Caenorhabditis elegans: one gene and its partner. The protein of the gene in region 2 purifies or fractionates together with the protein of the main gene of each other region. This does not show direct contact. Each region holds a gene or a part of one and is shown on either strand. Other genes may lie near its edges.

Region 1 (7,076 bases), on a different chromosome or scaffold from region 2:
TTTTAAATATGAAATCTGTATCGCCTTAGCTTTAGGGTACCTCCAAGAGCCACGAACGCCCTTACGAACAATGAGAAGAACTGAGGTGAAAGATCTTCGCCACAACTTGCACCTTTTTTTGCACGTATATTAAGCTGTTTTCTAGGAAATTCGTGGATCACACTTCAATTTTGTAATCATGCTTCCCGCTACTCCTGCTTCTCAGAACGATGTGAAATGTGCTTGTGGCATTGAATTTTTAGTGAGAGTTCGAAAATCCTCTTGTGAGTTGGAAACGCATAAAGACATGCTCCCATCTGTCATTCTTTCTTTTTTTCTACTCCCCCCTTGACCCGTCACAATTTCCGTTGCACTTTCAATGTCTCTCATCATCTTCATTTTTATCGAAGCAGTCATTGACCCGAATGTTAGATTACTTGATTACTCACTTGCGCTCACGTTTTAAAATTTTGTGCTTGAAAATGTTTCTGCTCTAACTATATAATTTGTATTCAAATGTACCTTGAAAAAGCAGAATCAAAATAATTATAGGACACATGAGTCAGAATCTATTCCAAACATCAGTGCAAGATAAGCTACATTCTTGAAAGAAGAGAAAAATGTTAGTGCTCTCTTAAAAGTGCATCCGCATCATCCCTCTTATTTGGCCAGCAGCCGTCGTTAGCCAAGACACACAAAAAAGTGAAAGAACTATGTTTTACTCATTTCAATAAAACAGCCTTCTTTCTTCATCAACCCCGCCGAGTATGCACTTTCTGACTTGATCCCATCGTCATTCGCACATATGCTTTTGAGTTCAATTTTATTTTCTCTTGTTTTCATTGCTTTATTCTTTAAAATAGTGCGGTTTGCTGAAATTTGTTTGGTACTTGTGTATTATATCCCCACCATTTTAAATGAATATTTAAAAGTATTAAAAAAATATTCCTATTTTCCTATTTTTACTTTAGCACAGTAAGTAGAAATTTTGAATACGATCAATATTTCTCTTCTTGTAGCTGGAATAATTGCTGGGTAGCACACTCAAAAGTTTATGTCGTCAAACTAACTTTTCTAGTAATTTGTGAAAACTGCGCAAAGTAAAAGTATGGCTGAATTCCTAAAGAGCTGAAATGACCAGATATAAAATTAAACTTTGCAAAAAAATTTTTTATTTTTTATTTTTTTTTGTTTCAAGTTAAATGAGGTAAACCCTAGTTATGACCAATTTTTAAAATTTATATTGGATTGCATTTTTTACATTTTCTTTTTTATTTCCGTTCAACTTCCTTGTGTTTTTTCGCGGGTTGGAGCATTGAATGTTGATGTGTGCTTTTTCACCGTGCTTCACACAAAATGTAGGCGGAGATTTTAAAGTGGAAAATGGTGAAGAAGCGCGCCGTCACTATAGATATTCGTTGTGTTCTCAAATATTTCCTGAACAATGTCCCCGCACTTTAGAATTTTGCGAAGCGAAAAGTGCACATTTTATCTCAATATTATATCCAAGGTCTTAAGTAACTTTACTAGTTCTGCGTCAGCTACAGTAAGACGATACAATTTCTAATCTGCTTCTAATCTGTTTCTTGAAGCGATGTTGAGCACAGAATTCAAAAACGTCTCATTTTGTCGAAATTAGAGTATTAATCATGAACTGAAACTGAAAAACTTACATTTGTGTTTTGATACTTCTATGCCCTAAGTTCAACTTTGCAACAGCTTTTCGTAATCTTTTCTACTGAAGCTGAAAAGCTTGCATTTGTAATCCATCGTTTTACATATTAGAAATACGACAAATTGGTGCTAATAGGATAGATTCGTTGAATAGTCATTATTTTCATCGTTCAAAACCACTCTATTTCGCTATTTAAACTCAAAATCAAGTTCGTTTAAAACTGGAGCACGAGAGAAAATAATTTCTGATTTCCGTAACAATATTTGCGTAAACTAGCTTAAAGTAATATTTACTAAAACTTTCAGATGAAGATGGAATGTATGTTCCTCTCAAACCAAGAATTAGACATACCCATGGAACTCCAAAAATGCTGTATGTCCATTGACCATGCATCTGAAAGTGTTATTGAAAGACCAGTGGAACTAACGTGCCTGTCCAACGTCGTGAATGGGACGGGAATCAGTGACAAAATCGCATCAGGTCGTTTTGGTACAGTCTTCTTAGGAACTATTACGGATTCAATGTTACAGGTATGTACAAAAAAAATTTTCGGCAAACGGCAAATCGGCAAAATGTAGAAATGCAAATTTCCGGCAAATCAGCAATTTTCCAAATTGCCGATTTGCCGAATTTGCCGAAAATTGTGGTTTTGCACATTAAAAAAATTAAAACAAATTCCTCTAAAAATTTCCGGCAAATTAATAGCCGGCAAACGACAATTCGGCAATTTGCTAAAAATGAAAATTTCCGGCAAATGGGTGATCAGTACATACCTTTTTTAACTTTTATAATAAAACAATGTAAGGAAATTACGGAATTTATCATCAAAATTTCTTAAAATATTGCATATTCTGCTGCTAAACCCCTGATGGACAGCTAAAAAATACACATTTTTCACTAGTGTTTCTATACAATTATATGTATTCTTCAGTTCCTTTTAGTTCAAAATACCTATAGAGCTTTGGTTTATAATTATTTTTAACATTTTTTGCACACGCTATTAAAAGTGCAATCCAAGGTCAAAAAATTGAGCAGGTGTTACAACGTTTGACCGCTTTCAGCTGTTTTAGTGTCGTTATTTCAAAATTGAATTCAAGGTTGCAATCAAAGAGTATCACGAAACATTTCATGATGCCGTGCTAACTGCACACGATGAAGGCTCCACTCTTCAGAAAATAATTTCTATCGAGCATCCGGCTATTGTACAGACTTTCTCGGTGACTGATATTTGAAATTTTTGTACTTATTGTTTTTTTTTTCAGGTTTCTCATTTTCAAGATATAGTGTATAAAGTAATGGAGTTCCATTCTTGGACTTTACACGGTAAGGCATGTATCAAAAAGTTTCAACATTTTCGCTACTCCACCACTATAATGTACTTTTCAAAAATAGAGTTAGTGAGTAACATTGATTAGTTGCAGAAAAACGTGTGTACTTCGAAAAAATTGATCGAACGAATAGTAGGATTACTTTCTACTATTGTATCTTTTCATTCTCTAAATGTTAATCTTTTCAGACGACATTTTGGACAAAGGCAAGTACGACGAGTCCCAGACTAAGCTTGTATTGGTACAAGCCACAAGAGCTCTCGAATATTTGCATGCACAAAATCTTTGCCATGGGACGCTTCATGTAAGAAACTCGGAAAAATTAGTGATATACGCAATAGGTCAACGATTTTGCAGACAAAGAATATTTTCTTGCAAGAAAATATGGTCAAAATTTCGGATATTGAAAGCTCCCAATTTTTGAACTGGCTCCCATTCAGCCAAACACCACTGCACATTCTTCCATTTATTGCTCCAGAATTGCACAATCAGTTATCAGAAGTGACTTCTGAATGCGATTTATGGGTAAAAACTACTCTTATAGTGCTAAAAGGACCAAATATCAAAGTTACACTTTTAAAAAAACTTGGGAAGTTTTTTAACAACTGTCAAAAAGTGACAATTACTTAGATTTTGCCAGTTATATTTTTGGAAGTCAACCAAAAAAAAAGTTCTACAATATTCAACTTTATATTAGTTTAAATTGCTCGTGTAAAGACATTCTGGATTTTCTTAAAAGTTCAAAATCAGCACCTTGCCAAAACTTTGACTGGAAATTCTTAAGAAATCTAAAAAATGTTTGGAGTGTAATAAATGTACTTAAACAAAATCCCCATTTATTCAGAGTTTGGGTGTGTGCATTTTTGTTATGGCTACTGGATCTTGTCCGTTCATTTTGGAAAGCCGCAACACTATGATGGAAAGTATTCAAGCTGGTATCCTAGGTTCCCCCGTTCTTGCCAGTGACAAAATTCAATCGCTAGTGGAACAGCTGATTCATGTAAACCCATCTGAACGCATGTCACTTAAATCTTTAATTGAAGATGATTGGATGACTTCTGACCTAGTTTGGAACTATTTTGTAAGATTAAAAAAAACCATTTCAAAACAGCATTAGCTACTATAATAGTATTCCAGATTTCATGTCATGAAGATCTCATTAGAGAGTTGCCAGTAGTTGATAGATTCATTCCGGCAGAGTCCCTGGAAAAGAGCACAGTTCAGAGAGACGGCTCAGAAATCTCCATCGAAACCTTAGATGAGGGCTACAAAAGTGTAGCATCAGATCATCCAGAAGAGCCAGCTGTCTCTGGAGAGCAACAAGTCTTGACTGAACCTGTGCCAAAAAAATATCACAAAAAGTTTGCAGTGGTTTGTGCACAAATTTTTAAATGGTGTTCAAAAAAACAGAAATATTTTCCAGTTTGCAATGGAAAACGTCCGTAAGGAGTGGGACAATGACATCACTCGCATTGAGAAATGCAAACTGGTATGTTTTTTTATTTACGAATTACGATGAGAACGAAACTGATATTTTCAGAGAGACGGAAGCATGTGCTTGAGAATCGTCATTCCAGCAAAAGATGAAATTGCCTCTTCGTCAATTTTCAATCGCATAATAAAAAGCCGTTTGGGTCAGACGATCAAGCGCTTCCGATCACATCAAGATACTGTAGTTGATTCGGATTTTGGAGATTACGCACTTATGGTAGGATATAATTATTTTTGTCATCTTATGGTTTTTTTTCTTCAGAACTTCCGCAGAGAAAACACCGAGATTGAAGTTGCTCGAAACATGCCAAAGTTCACGAACAAACAGCAAGTTCAGCTCTACTATTGCAAAAAGGAAGCCGAACGTGTCTGGGAAAATCTGGCGGTGAGAGTGTTTTGTTTGGGTAGTTTTAAAATCTGTATGATTTTCAGATAAAAATTTGCATGCGATGTCGAAGAGCTGGAACTGATGCTTTGAATCACGACGAGGATAAGTGTCTTTATAAGCTGATTGCAGAAGCTGTGGAGAGTGAAGAAGTGATTTATTGTGAGTTGGAATTTAGATAATAATAGAAATTCTGATTTAAAAAAAATGTTTGAAGTTTAATGGCTCAAACAGAGTTTCAGAATTAATAGTGGGGAAAATTATTAAAAATCAAATTGCTAAAAATGGCTAAAATTGCTAAAATGACCATTTATCAGTTACTCCACCTTTAACAACATTCCGAAAAATATTTTTTTGTCGACTACCGTAATTTCAAGTTTCTAATTGTTTTCAAACACAATTCGTCTGCAGCAAAGATTTCTAATTTTAAACCAAAAATGTCGAGAGCATTGTTTAGCTATACAACGAAACGTTTCAAAATATTTTGGAAAATTGGTTGTATGTTCTAATTATATATTATAGGTTCAAACCAGTTACATTGCTTTAGATTTATTGAAAAGTGGCCAACATAGTGAGTTTCACTACCTCTTGAAAAATGTTCAAAATTTTTTAGAAAAAATTTGTTATGGTATTTGATCATTTTAGCATCATAAGAATGGGTTTCAATAATTTTCTTATTTAATGTTGCTATGTCGTTTCAGATGGCGCAGAGGATCAATTCAATCTCCGTTTCTTCTCTCTTGTCTACAGAAATGACGGTGGACGTGCATCCGCAATGACTCGCTTCCGTAGAGGTTCAATAAGAGTTCTAACCTCTGGATACCGGAGAATTGTGAAACGTTTTCGACGACAGTCAACTTCTGGATCTGGTTCTTCTGGGTTGGGTTCGGACAATTGAAAATAAAAGTTTAGACGAGATTTTTGTTTTCATAAGTTCTAATTTTGTTTCTATGTATCGCTTTGTATGTAAATGACATTTTTTGCTCTGTTAATAAGTTGAAAGCGTGCAACCTTTTCGAGTAATTAATTCAATTCAATGTTCAAAAGAAAATCGATTTCTATTATTCAATTAAAAAAAATTTCTACCCATCTCAATATATGCACATTTTTCCAATTTCTCATGATTAATTGTAGCTATTACTGCGTTGTACAACACATTCCAAAAGTAATATTTTTTCGTATCGTATGCTGCAACCTCATATCCATATATTCCATCTCTCTTTTTTCTCTCTGTGAATTGTATAAAAATAAATATTTGAAAATTACAATTTATCAATCATAATAGTAAATTTAAACTTAATACCCGAAATTGGAGAATTCAAGATAAAACATAGTGACGTTCCAATGACGTCATGAAAGTGCAAATGACCAATGTAAAAAAAGATGATGAGGGAAAAAATATTGTGCTAACAAGTAAGAAGCATACAAATGTTAAGGGGGTTTTTTAATTGCACCACATAACGGCAGAGCACCTTGAAATGGTTTTGACAAGCACACTTAAAAATAATTAAAGCACGTTTAAAAAAAAAGATTATCAAATGATCGAAGTGTTTTATCGAGATTGTGATGAATGACTAAATGAATGATATGTTTAAGTCAAGGTTTAAATCAGACAAAGGCGGGTTCCGGAGCACTTGCACAGCATGATGTGAACTTCCCTTTATCGCTTTTGATGACTCCGTCAACGTGGAAGGCCGATGAAAACTCCTAAAAATGGCATATTTATTGAAAGATAATTAGCATATAAATTGCATCCGGATATTGTCTGTCTTACTAACCTCGTTGTCATCCGACTCATCCGAATGCATACTGCCAGCCGTTATTCGTTCTCTCATTGCAGCTGTCAAAGTGTGAAATGCTTCTTCGCAGTTTATCCCTGGAAAACGACAATCAGTGTGGAAAAAATAAATCTTCAAGTTTCCGTGTTTGTTCTCACGTTCTAGAGGCGGAAAAGTGCCAGTGAGAAAATTTAAAAAAAATCACTTTCTGAGAAAACTATAGGACTTTGGCATGTTCAAATCCCTACAATGTTTGATTATTTATTATCGCAACATAAGTAGACCATAATAGTAAGTCAACTTTTAAAAACAAAATAAATGTAGAAATACATTAAAAAATACTTGATTAGTCTAAAAATAACATTTAAATTCATTTAAAATTTTCAAAACTTACAAAAACTTAAAAACTGTCTAAAACTTGCCAATTGCCAAAAGAATTT
Region 2 (8,457 bases):
ATGAAAAGTCACTGAAAATTCCACAGCAACGAGAGTTTGGAACTACAGTAATCTTCAAAGGCGCACACCATTCGCACTTAACTTCGTGTCGAGACCAAGTACATTATTATTGGCTCAATAAATGAAAAATTTTGGCAACTATTGATAAGTAAAATGAGATAATTTTCAGAGAGGGACTTCTCCGAATCATTTCAAAGACAGGAATCTACCGAAAACAGGAGAATCGGGTTTCCAGTGTTGTCGAGGTAAATCTTTTTTTTCGGTTGTTTTATTTATTTTCGAGTTTCATCGATGCACACTTTGGGTTAATTTTCTCTTGCACAAAATACTTGGTTTTCTATCCTTTTACCTCTTTGCTTTTTATTCAGAAATTCAACCAACCACCCAAGCAACCAACCAATCCGGCACAGCAATCAGCCAACAACGACGCTGCTAAAACCGAAAAAGTGTGAACGCCTTTTTCTGAATGAATCACTAATATTTATATAAAAAAGAATCCTATTGAATACATTAATAATCATCATTTTCCCACATGTAGATTAGATGTTTTTCGTCATATTTCCTCTGTACATAATGTGAATAAATGTTTCAAGATTTGATCAAATAATGCAGAACATGAATTAAATTCATATATTGGATGGGGTATTGAATTGGTAACTAGGTTATTTTAACGACAAAGCGATCGATCTGTGTACAGTTGCAAAAGGGGTCCCGACTGTACGGAATTGCAGTGTTCACGGAACGATCGCTTTGGCACGATATTACCGTTCCAGATAGTGTAGACAGCTGTGTGTCATTAACACTTTCTGGACCGGTAATAAAAAAGATGGGAGAATGTAGGTCAACATAAAAGGAATTTCAAATTTGGAACAAAGTAAAAGAATGAAAAAACTAGATATTAAAATATCATAACCCAGGGGATAAGAAATGATGATTAGAAAAAGCAAATAAAAATCTATGACAAAAATTGAGAAGTCGTTATTGACTATCATTGCTGCACGGCATATTCCTCGACATACTCGCCTTCCTCGAATTCGAGTATTTCTCCACGTGCCTGAGCTTCACGTATTTCATCTTCAGTGAGGTAACGGACAGTCTGAAATTGAATATATGTTTTTTGAAATTAAACCAAAAATTAAGACATACTCTATCTTCCTCAATCTCTTGATACTCGCCCTCCTGGATCATCTCGTAGTTGCCGTCGTTCTGAAAGTAATTCAATGAAATATCAGAAAATCAGGAGTCAAAGCATACCATAATTTCATTTTCATCAATGAGCACATGATCCGGATTATTGGCGTCATATGTTGGAATGAACTCAGTCTCCACTGGAACTTCTTCCATTTCTTCAACTTCTTCTTCTACAATCTGTTGTGGGAATTCAAGAGCCATCGGTTTGGTTTCTTCGCGGAACATTGTAGATGGTTCAGATTCCTCGAATTGTGGAGTTTCATCTCTTCCAACTAATCTATCGAATCGACTTTCTTGTGAAGTATCTTCCTCTGTTTGCACTTTGCCAGCCATTTCTTGTGCCATTTTTAAATCCATCTTCTCATTTTCCATAAGCAAAATGTAAGCTGGCTCGTTGTTTTTCTTGATTCCAAAGACAATTTGGACCTTGTCAAATTGCTGATCGAAATTATCTTTTCGGAATCTTTCCAGCTCAATTGGATCCGTAATAGTGTCACCAAATCGAATATTAGGTCGTCTGATTGTAGTTTGAAGGTCAGTAGTTTCAGAAATTTCAGCGCCACTGATTGGCTTTCCAGCAGTTTCAGGCATCACTTCAGGATGTTTGAGACGAAGATGGCGAATAGCACGACAAATATTGAAAGGCTTATGAAGAGCATATGTTAGATTACAAATCAGACATTCAACCAATTGTGGATGAACAAACTCCATGGATCCATCACCGATTCGCTCTAAACGTGCTTTGACAAGTTCATATTGCATATGCTCCGTTTCGGCTGGATGGAATTCTTTATAGTGCTTGATAGCTCCAGCAGAGATTACAGCACCGTAAACGTTACGATTGCAGAGACGGCACTTCCATTCACAAGCAGATTTTGGTTCGAAATACGATGAATTATTGGGACAGATTTGTCGGAAGCATGGTTTTACAAACTTTCGCTTCAGACGATTGCGGCGACCAAATGATTGTTGACTGTTTGTGGTGCAGATCTGAAAGAAACTATATTTTGCTTTTTGAGATTCAAAATGACTAAAAAAATGAAATTCTGTTAAAATAATTAAAACTAATATTATGGAGACGCAGAAAAGTGCGCCTTTTAAAATCGAGAATTTCCCTTTTTTTAAATAATTTTTATCTTTAAGAATTTAGTGAAATCGGCTACAAACTACTTCCAATGTTCTTACCGCTTCTGCATCTTCATGCGAATCATCTGGATCATGTTGATCAACTCCAGGCTTCGCTCTTTTCAAATGTCTGTCTATAGCCTTATCCATAGCTTTCTCCGAGCTGTATTTCGCATTTAGTTTGGAACATTGAAGGTGAAATTCATCTGGAAGACTAATTCCAAAGTCTTCCCCGTATTTCTCCATTAATCGAGCAGTCATTACCATCTCCTGAAGGCACAGCGAGCAATTAGGCACCGCAATCTGTTGAGCATGAACTTCTGAGAAATGCATTCCAAGCGCTGATCGATCCATCATCATTCCACACCAAATGCATTGCAGATTATTTTGATCGGCGGATTCAGTGCTAACAACAGAAAAATCGCTCAGTGAAAGTGGACGTCTTGAAGTGCTAGTAGTCGCTGATCCCGGATCCCGCCAATCCTGAGAGCATCGATGTTCTGCAGGATGCCACGCGTTGAAGTGACGAACGAGGTGTATTACTTCGAATTTTTTATTTAATGACACCACAGCTTGACAGATATCACATCTTGCGTGAAGTCGATCTACCAGGGAAACTGGAACTTTTCTTCCCATTTTCTCGACGAGCTTTCTTTTCAGAGCAACTTCCAGTTGCGGCAATGTCATCTCATTGACATTTACACGAATTTGACTGACTTTTCTCATTTGTCGAATTCCTTTTGAGTAGAGTCTGACAGCTCCACCAAATCCACCACCATCGTGATCATCATAGTGACGAAATCCGTTCTCCATCATCTTTGACTCTTGTTTCAGGCGTGTTTTAAGCCAACTGTCGTACGGGACTTCTTCAAGTTCTACTCCAGGTGAAAGATATTCAGGGTGAGCAGTTGGAAGATGCTCCGTGAGAAGTTTATCATAGACAACTATTTCTCCACAAAGGCCACAGCAAATATTATTCGTGTCCAGAAAGCTGAATTCCAAATTTCCACGATCCACAGGGCCGGCTCCTGCAAAATTTTTCTTTAGCTAGCATTTTGAAACTAAAAACACATTTGAAGGTGGACTACGTTCATACATATGATGCTAAATAAGTAAATATCGTAAAACTTTTCTTAAAAAATTGGAATTTTTTTGATTTGAAATCAAAAAAGGTCTGCTAAATCGAAAAAAATCAAATTTTTAGCGTATTTAAAATTAGTTAATTTTAGCATTATATTTGAATGGGTTTCAATGATTTCCCAACTGGCCGTAGTCCACCTTTATCCAGTTATTCAGTGTAAGCTCACCTTCTTGGCCGCCTGGTACTTCTTGCTGTTGCTGCTGCTGATGTTGTCGAATCTGTTGTTTATTCTTAACATCTTCTTGTTCCACCTCTTCCTGCATCACTTGCTGTTCCTGCTCCACCATATTATGCGGCTCCACAAGTGCTCCTGTATCGGTTACCAGTTCCACAATATGCCCATTCTCATCAATAAACACTGAATTTCCATGAACATCTCGAGCAAAACGCACTTCGTGTGCTCTTCCGCCAGGAGATTGCAATCGAATCATTTCACCTTCGTCCATCATATTAAAGTCGAAATTACCATCCTCATCAACAGCCAGACCTTTCTCTTGTGATTGTTCGTCACGTTCATCATCTCCAACTGCATCTTCTGGTACTCCTTCTGGGACAAGTTGTGGTGGAAGATCGTCATCTTCTTCATCTTCCATCTCCCCTTGCTTACTGTGCTCATCCATCACATATTGCTCAGCTTGTTGCTCTGCTGCTTGAATTTCTACTTGTTCTTCTTCTTCAATAACACTATTCGGATCAACTTCATAAACGACATTCATTCCATTTTCCTCCACAATATATTGCTGTGGTTGTATTGATTTCATCATTTTCATTTCTTCATCTTCCATTAAATCAGATCTACCAATACGATCTTCAATGAAATTTCCTCCCTGAAGAGTCAAAACTCTTTGCTGAGCAATTGCATCTTGTTCTTGTTGTTCCATATCTTCAGGATGTATAAGAACTTGATCTCGTACGTCATAAATATGAGATTTATCGGATACGTATGGATGTAGTCCTCTTGTGGAAACATGACGAGCTTTCTCCTTTGGAAAATGTTCTGATGGGAGATCTTTTCCAGCTTCACGCTCTTTTTTCTTTGTGGCATCTAATGCAGTGGATGGTACGGTAACTCCTTGAGAAGCTGATGGTACAGTAGACGAAGAAGCTTGAGATGATTGCTGCTGCAGGAGCATCGGTGGCATTGGTGGAGGACCATCATTGGATTCCACTTCCGTCACTATATCAATCGGAGATCCAGATTGCACTACTTCATCTTCAATCTCAACTTGATGTGCAGCAATTGGAACTTCTGACATTGAAAGTGGCGAAGGTGGAGCATCGTTTGGCTCGGGATCCCTATGCGATTCTTGCACTTTTTCAGCGACTTCCCTTGTGTCCTTCCTCTTAATTGGTGTAGGATCTCTCTGAGAACTTGCTCGCTTCAAACTCGGGAAGCCAGGAGGAACAAGATCTTTCGGCACAGGACGTCGATGTGGTGGAATAGGATTTGCTGGACGGCCTCTACTATTGGCTTTGTTCGCAAGGTGTGCTGGTGCCGGAGGAGGACCAGCTGGATCGGCCACCGACGCATGTTCTTGTTCTTGATCTTCATCTCGATCACGTTCTATCACTGATTTCACAACATCTTTTTCAACAACTTCGTGGCGAACTTCCTCAATGTGAGCATCATTTGGTATAAGTGGCTCTATATTATCTTCAATTCCCGCATTTGGAGCAAGTGGGAGTGGAATCGAAATTTCTTGAATTTGCATCTTTTTATTCGCTAACTGGTGATGCTGCACAAAATCGTTCAGCTTTTTCGGAGCATTACGAGCCCGCGAGCCTCGTCCAACCAGCACAGGAGGCGCAGGCTTACGATCAGACGATCCCGGACCTTCCAGTGGGCCAGATTCCAACAAATCTTGACTCATCAGCTCTTCATCCATGAGATCGTCAGGCATCTGAGCTTGGCTTGAAGTCCTCTGTCTAGGTGGTCTGCCACGTGTACGTTTCTGAGCCATCGGTGTGACAATCATCATTTTTTGTTGTTGAATTTGCCTGAAAAATAAGATTGATTAAATAAGCATTCGATTTAAAAATTAAGTCTCACTTAATCTTATCCATATCTGATCTATCATCTCCTTCAACCAAAGTATCATCTTCGTGATCTTCATTCAAAAATTCTGGATCCTCGTCTTCTCTGAATTCGTGCTCTTCGGATTGCTCATCGGCATGGCTTGTCGTCGGAAGTTGCGATCTACGGGTACCTCGCCCTCTGCCCCGTCGACTGTCGGAAGAACTATCGGGATTTGAATGTGCTACACCTGTAGAGTTGGCTTTTTTTAATTTTGGAAGAACAAATAAAGTTGCCATGCTTTTTCCAAATAATTAAATTTACAGTTTTTCTGCTATTGTTCAAAAATCACTGTAAATCTTCCGTTTTTAAAGAAAATGTTTTGAAAATCTTCAATTCAAAGTTATTCTGATTTCGCAATACCTTTTCTGCGAGAAATTGTATTTCTGTGATACTTTTCTGTTATTTGCTTACTAACCTTTCAAGGAATGGCCTCTGCCTGTCATTATTAGTTAGGAGATTCAGGCGAAACCTGGAAGAAACAGTTTTAAAAGGAAAAGCTGAATGGAAACTGTAAAGTGAAGAGCGTTGCGAGACCGCGATCGATCGTGGTGAGACCGGCAGAGAAAGTGGGAGACTCGGATGCCTCTCTCGTTTCTCTCATGGCCGACGCACACTCTCGCACTGTTTGCATTTCTGCGTCTCTGACTTTCTCTGCGAACATTGCGAACGTATTTGCGGGGATACCCGTTTTTTATTAGAAATAATATCAAAGCGATTTGATGTTTAAACAACAAGCAATTGAAAAGTTAATCTGAAAATAATATCGTGGAACTAGAAATAATTTTTTATTTTAAACGCCAATAATTAAAAAAGAAAACTCGTAACAGTATCCAAATTCAAATGAGACCATCCAATTCTTTCATAAAATCATTATAAGCTTCATCGGTATTTTTTGCTTGCTTCTGAACCTCCGGTCGCCTTTGTACTGGAGCCGCTTGTCGTGGGACGATAGTCTTGTTGTCTCCTGGACGACGGAGCAATTGTGCCGGCACTAATTTGACAGTTTCTCGTCGTAAGTTTCGTAGTTCAGGAGCAGCAGAAAGTGTTGCTGGAGCAGCAGGTTCATTACTGCGATTAATTTGTGGAGCCGACGAAATAACAGCTTCTTCGTGATGGTTTTGGAAACCCATTGGATTGTAATGAGAACTCGCATGTGGGTGATGGTGGTGATGATGGTGCGGCATTCTGGTTGGCATTGAGTTATATGAGGATGGAGGTCCGTCTGGAAATCAAAACATAATTTTATTTGCAAAACATAATTTTTATTACATTTTTTTTAATGTGGGAATTTCTTGAAAATTTCCAGACAAAAGGGAGTAAGAATTTTAAATGTTGGAATTGGCCTATAAAAACTTACAATTTCTATGAATTGGCTGGTACGGGTTGTCGAATTCGGGAACTGAAATTTTTCAAAAATTACTTTCGTTAAGAAATTAACTCCTTACTAGGTACGGGCGCAAGATCGATGTCGTCATAGTGATCATCGTGCACTTCCTCTTCTTCTTCTTCGCTGTCACTGAAATTTGGAGCCAATCCACAAGGCGGCCCAGGAGGCTTTTGTCCAGCTACACGAACAGGTCTAGGAGGAAGTTGAAATTCCACTTTACGTCTAAAAAATAATTAAAAATTTAAATTCTCAAAACTTATTTAACATACTTTATCATAGCAGGAGCAAGTAGTTGATTATTTCTTTCAGGTCCGGCAGTAGAAACATCTCCCATTGGTAAGGGGATCATGTCCGGGTCAGCTTCGCGGGCAAGACGAGCTTGTTCTAAAATGAACGTTGTGATTTATAAAAAAAAAGAAAAATGATACTTACGAGCAAGAACAGCTAGTTTTTGACAATCTGACTGATATGCATTGATTTTGTCATTAAACTTCTTTAATTCAGCGTCTTCTTTTCCCTGTTGCAATGTCATCCGTCTTTTATTAATCGAATCTGTCAGCACTTTCTGCTTCTTTCTGAGAACATCGATATGGAACGGTTGAGGATCTAATCCAAGGATCTGCCGTTCTAATGCCAAAAGTTTGCTCGTTGTCTCATCCAGATTACAGTATTTCGCCATAGCTTGTCTTATTTGCTGCCTGTCTTTTTTGTTTCTCTTGTTTTCCTTTTTTCGATCCATTTTACGAGCTTGATCGGTAGGCGCTCGATAGCGCTCCCCGCTTTTCGTTTTACTGATGGACGGCATTTCTGAAAAAAAAACATGATTTAGGACAGCTGTTCTGGAAATAAAAAACGAATTAAATACAGATATTCGAAAAATGAGGAGCTTTAGGAAAAACATCTAGAATAAAATTTGTATCAGATAATGGATGTGAAATGGATTCATTAAAAAAAAGAAAGATGCTATTATTTTCAAATGAGTGCAAAATTAGCTTTTCTAGACGAAATGTTAATTTTAATCAGAAAAATACGTTTAATTTATTTGGGTGCAAGATCGTCAGAGGCGTCGCGGTTTAGCCCGCAACGCACCACAAAACACTATCAATAGTCCACGTTCGCACCATCAAAATGCGAAGCAACTTTAAATTTAAAGGTTAGGTCTCGAATTCCAATAGACATTCACTTTAGAAGTCATTTCAATCTTTTTCTAAAATCACGACAAAAGTACTAGATTTCACCAGAAAAATAGGTTTATTCAATGATGACTGTAATAAAAAAAATAGCTATGAAATACATGGATTATACATAAAAGATCCTGATAGAATTATCCACGGGTGGCGATGTATCCGATGAGGTCGACAACACGGTTCGAGTATCCATATTCATTGTCGTACCTGTAAAAAATAAATTTAAAATACATTTTTTAAAAATTCAGTGGTTACCAAGAGACGAGCTTGACGAAGTTCGGGTTGAGCGAAATGCATGCTCCAGTATCGAAAATGGACGAGTGAGGGTCGGACACGAAGTCAGTCGACA

The links.
Region 1: the proteins of gsox-1 (region 2) and K02E10.7 fractionate together in Caenorhabditis elegans (co-fractionation; one large-scale study listed by BioGRID). This does not show direct contact.

Annotation. Positions count from the first base shown.
Region 1 is NC_003284.9:2,500,041-2,507,116, reverse strand, and holds K02E10.7 (Protein kinase domain-containing protein), read left to right. Parts: upstream 1-1,959; coding exon 1,960-2,184; intron 2,185-2,751; coding exon 2,752-2,871; intron 2,872-2,916; coding exon 2,917-2,977; intron 2,978-3,170; coding exon 3,171-3,286; intron 3,287-3,339; coding exon 3,340-3,507; intron 3,508-3,826; coding exon 3,827-4,063; intron 4,064-4,119; coding exon 4,120-4,353; intron 4,354-4,405; coding exon 4,406-4,471; intron 4,472-4,522; coding exon 4,523-4,690; intron 4,691-4,735; coding exon 4,736-4,858; intron 4,859-4,905; coding exon 4,906-5,020; intron 5,021-5,559; coding exon 5,560-5,756; 3' UTR 5,757-6,130; downstream 6,131-7,076. Other genes in the region: rabr-1 (RAB family), read right to left, coding at 6,467-6,565, 6,637-6,734.
Region 2 is NC_003280.10:10,172,194-10,180,650, reverse strand, and holds gsox-1 (C2H2-type domain-containing protein), read right to left. Parts: upstream 6,004-8,457; 5' UTR 5,978-6,003; coding exon 5,950-5,977; intron 5,722-5,949; coding exon 5,508-5,721; intron 5,456-5,507; coding exon 3,624-5,455; intron 3,345-3,623; coding exon 2,377-3,344; intron 2,182-2,376; coding exon 1,255-2,181; intron 1,207-1,254; coding exon 1,147-1,206; intron 1,097-1,146; coding exon 989-1,096; 3' UTR 611-988; downstream 1-610. Other genes in the region: srd-1 (Serpentine receptor class delta-1), read left to right, coding at 170-245, 369-452; WW domain-binding protein wbp-11, read right to left, coding at 6,371-6,756, 6,892-6,933, 6,980-7,143, 7,191-7,305, 7,354-7,726; gpd-4 (Glyceraldehyde-3-phosphate dehydrogenase 4), read right to left, coding at 8,246-8,315, 8,364-8,457.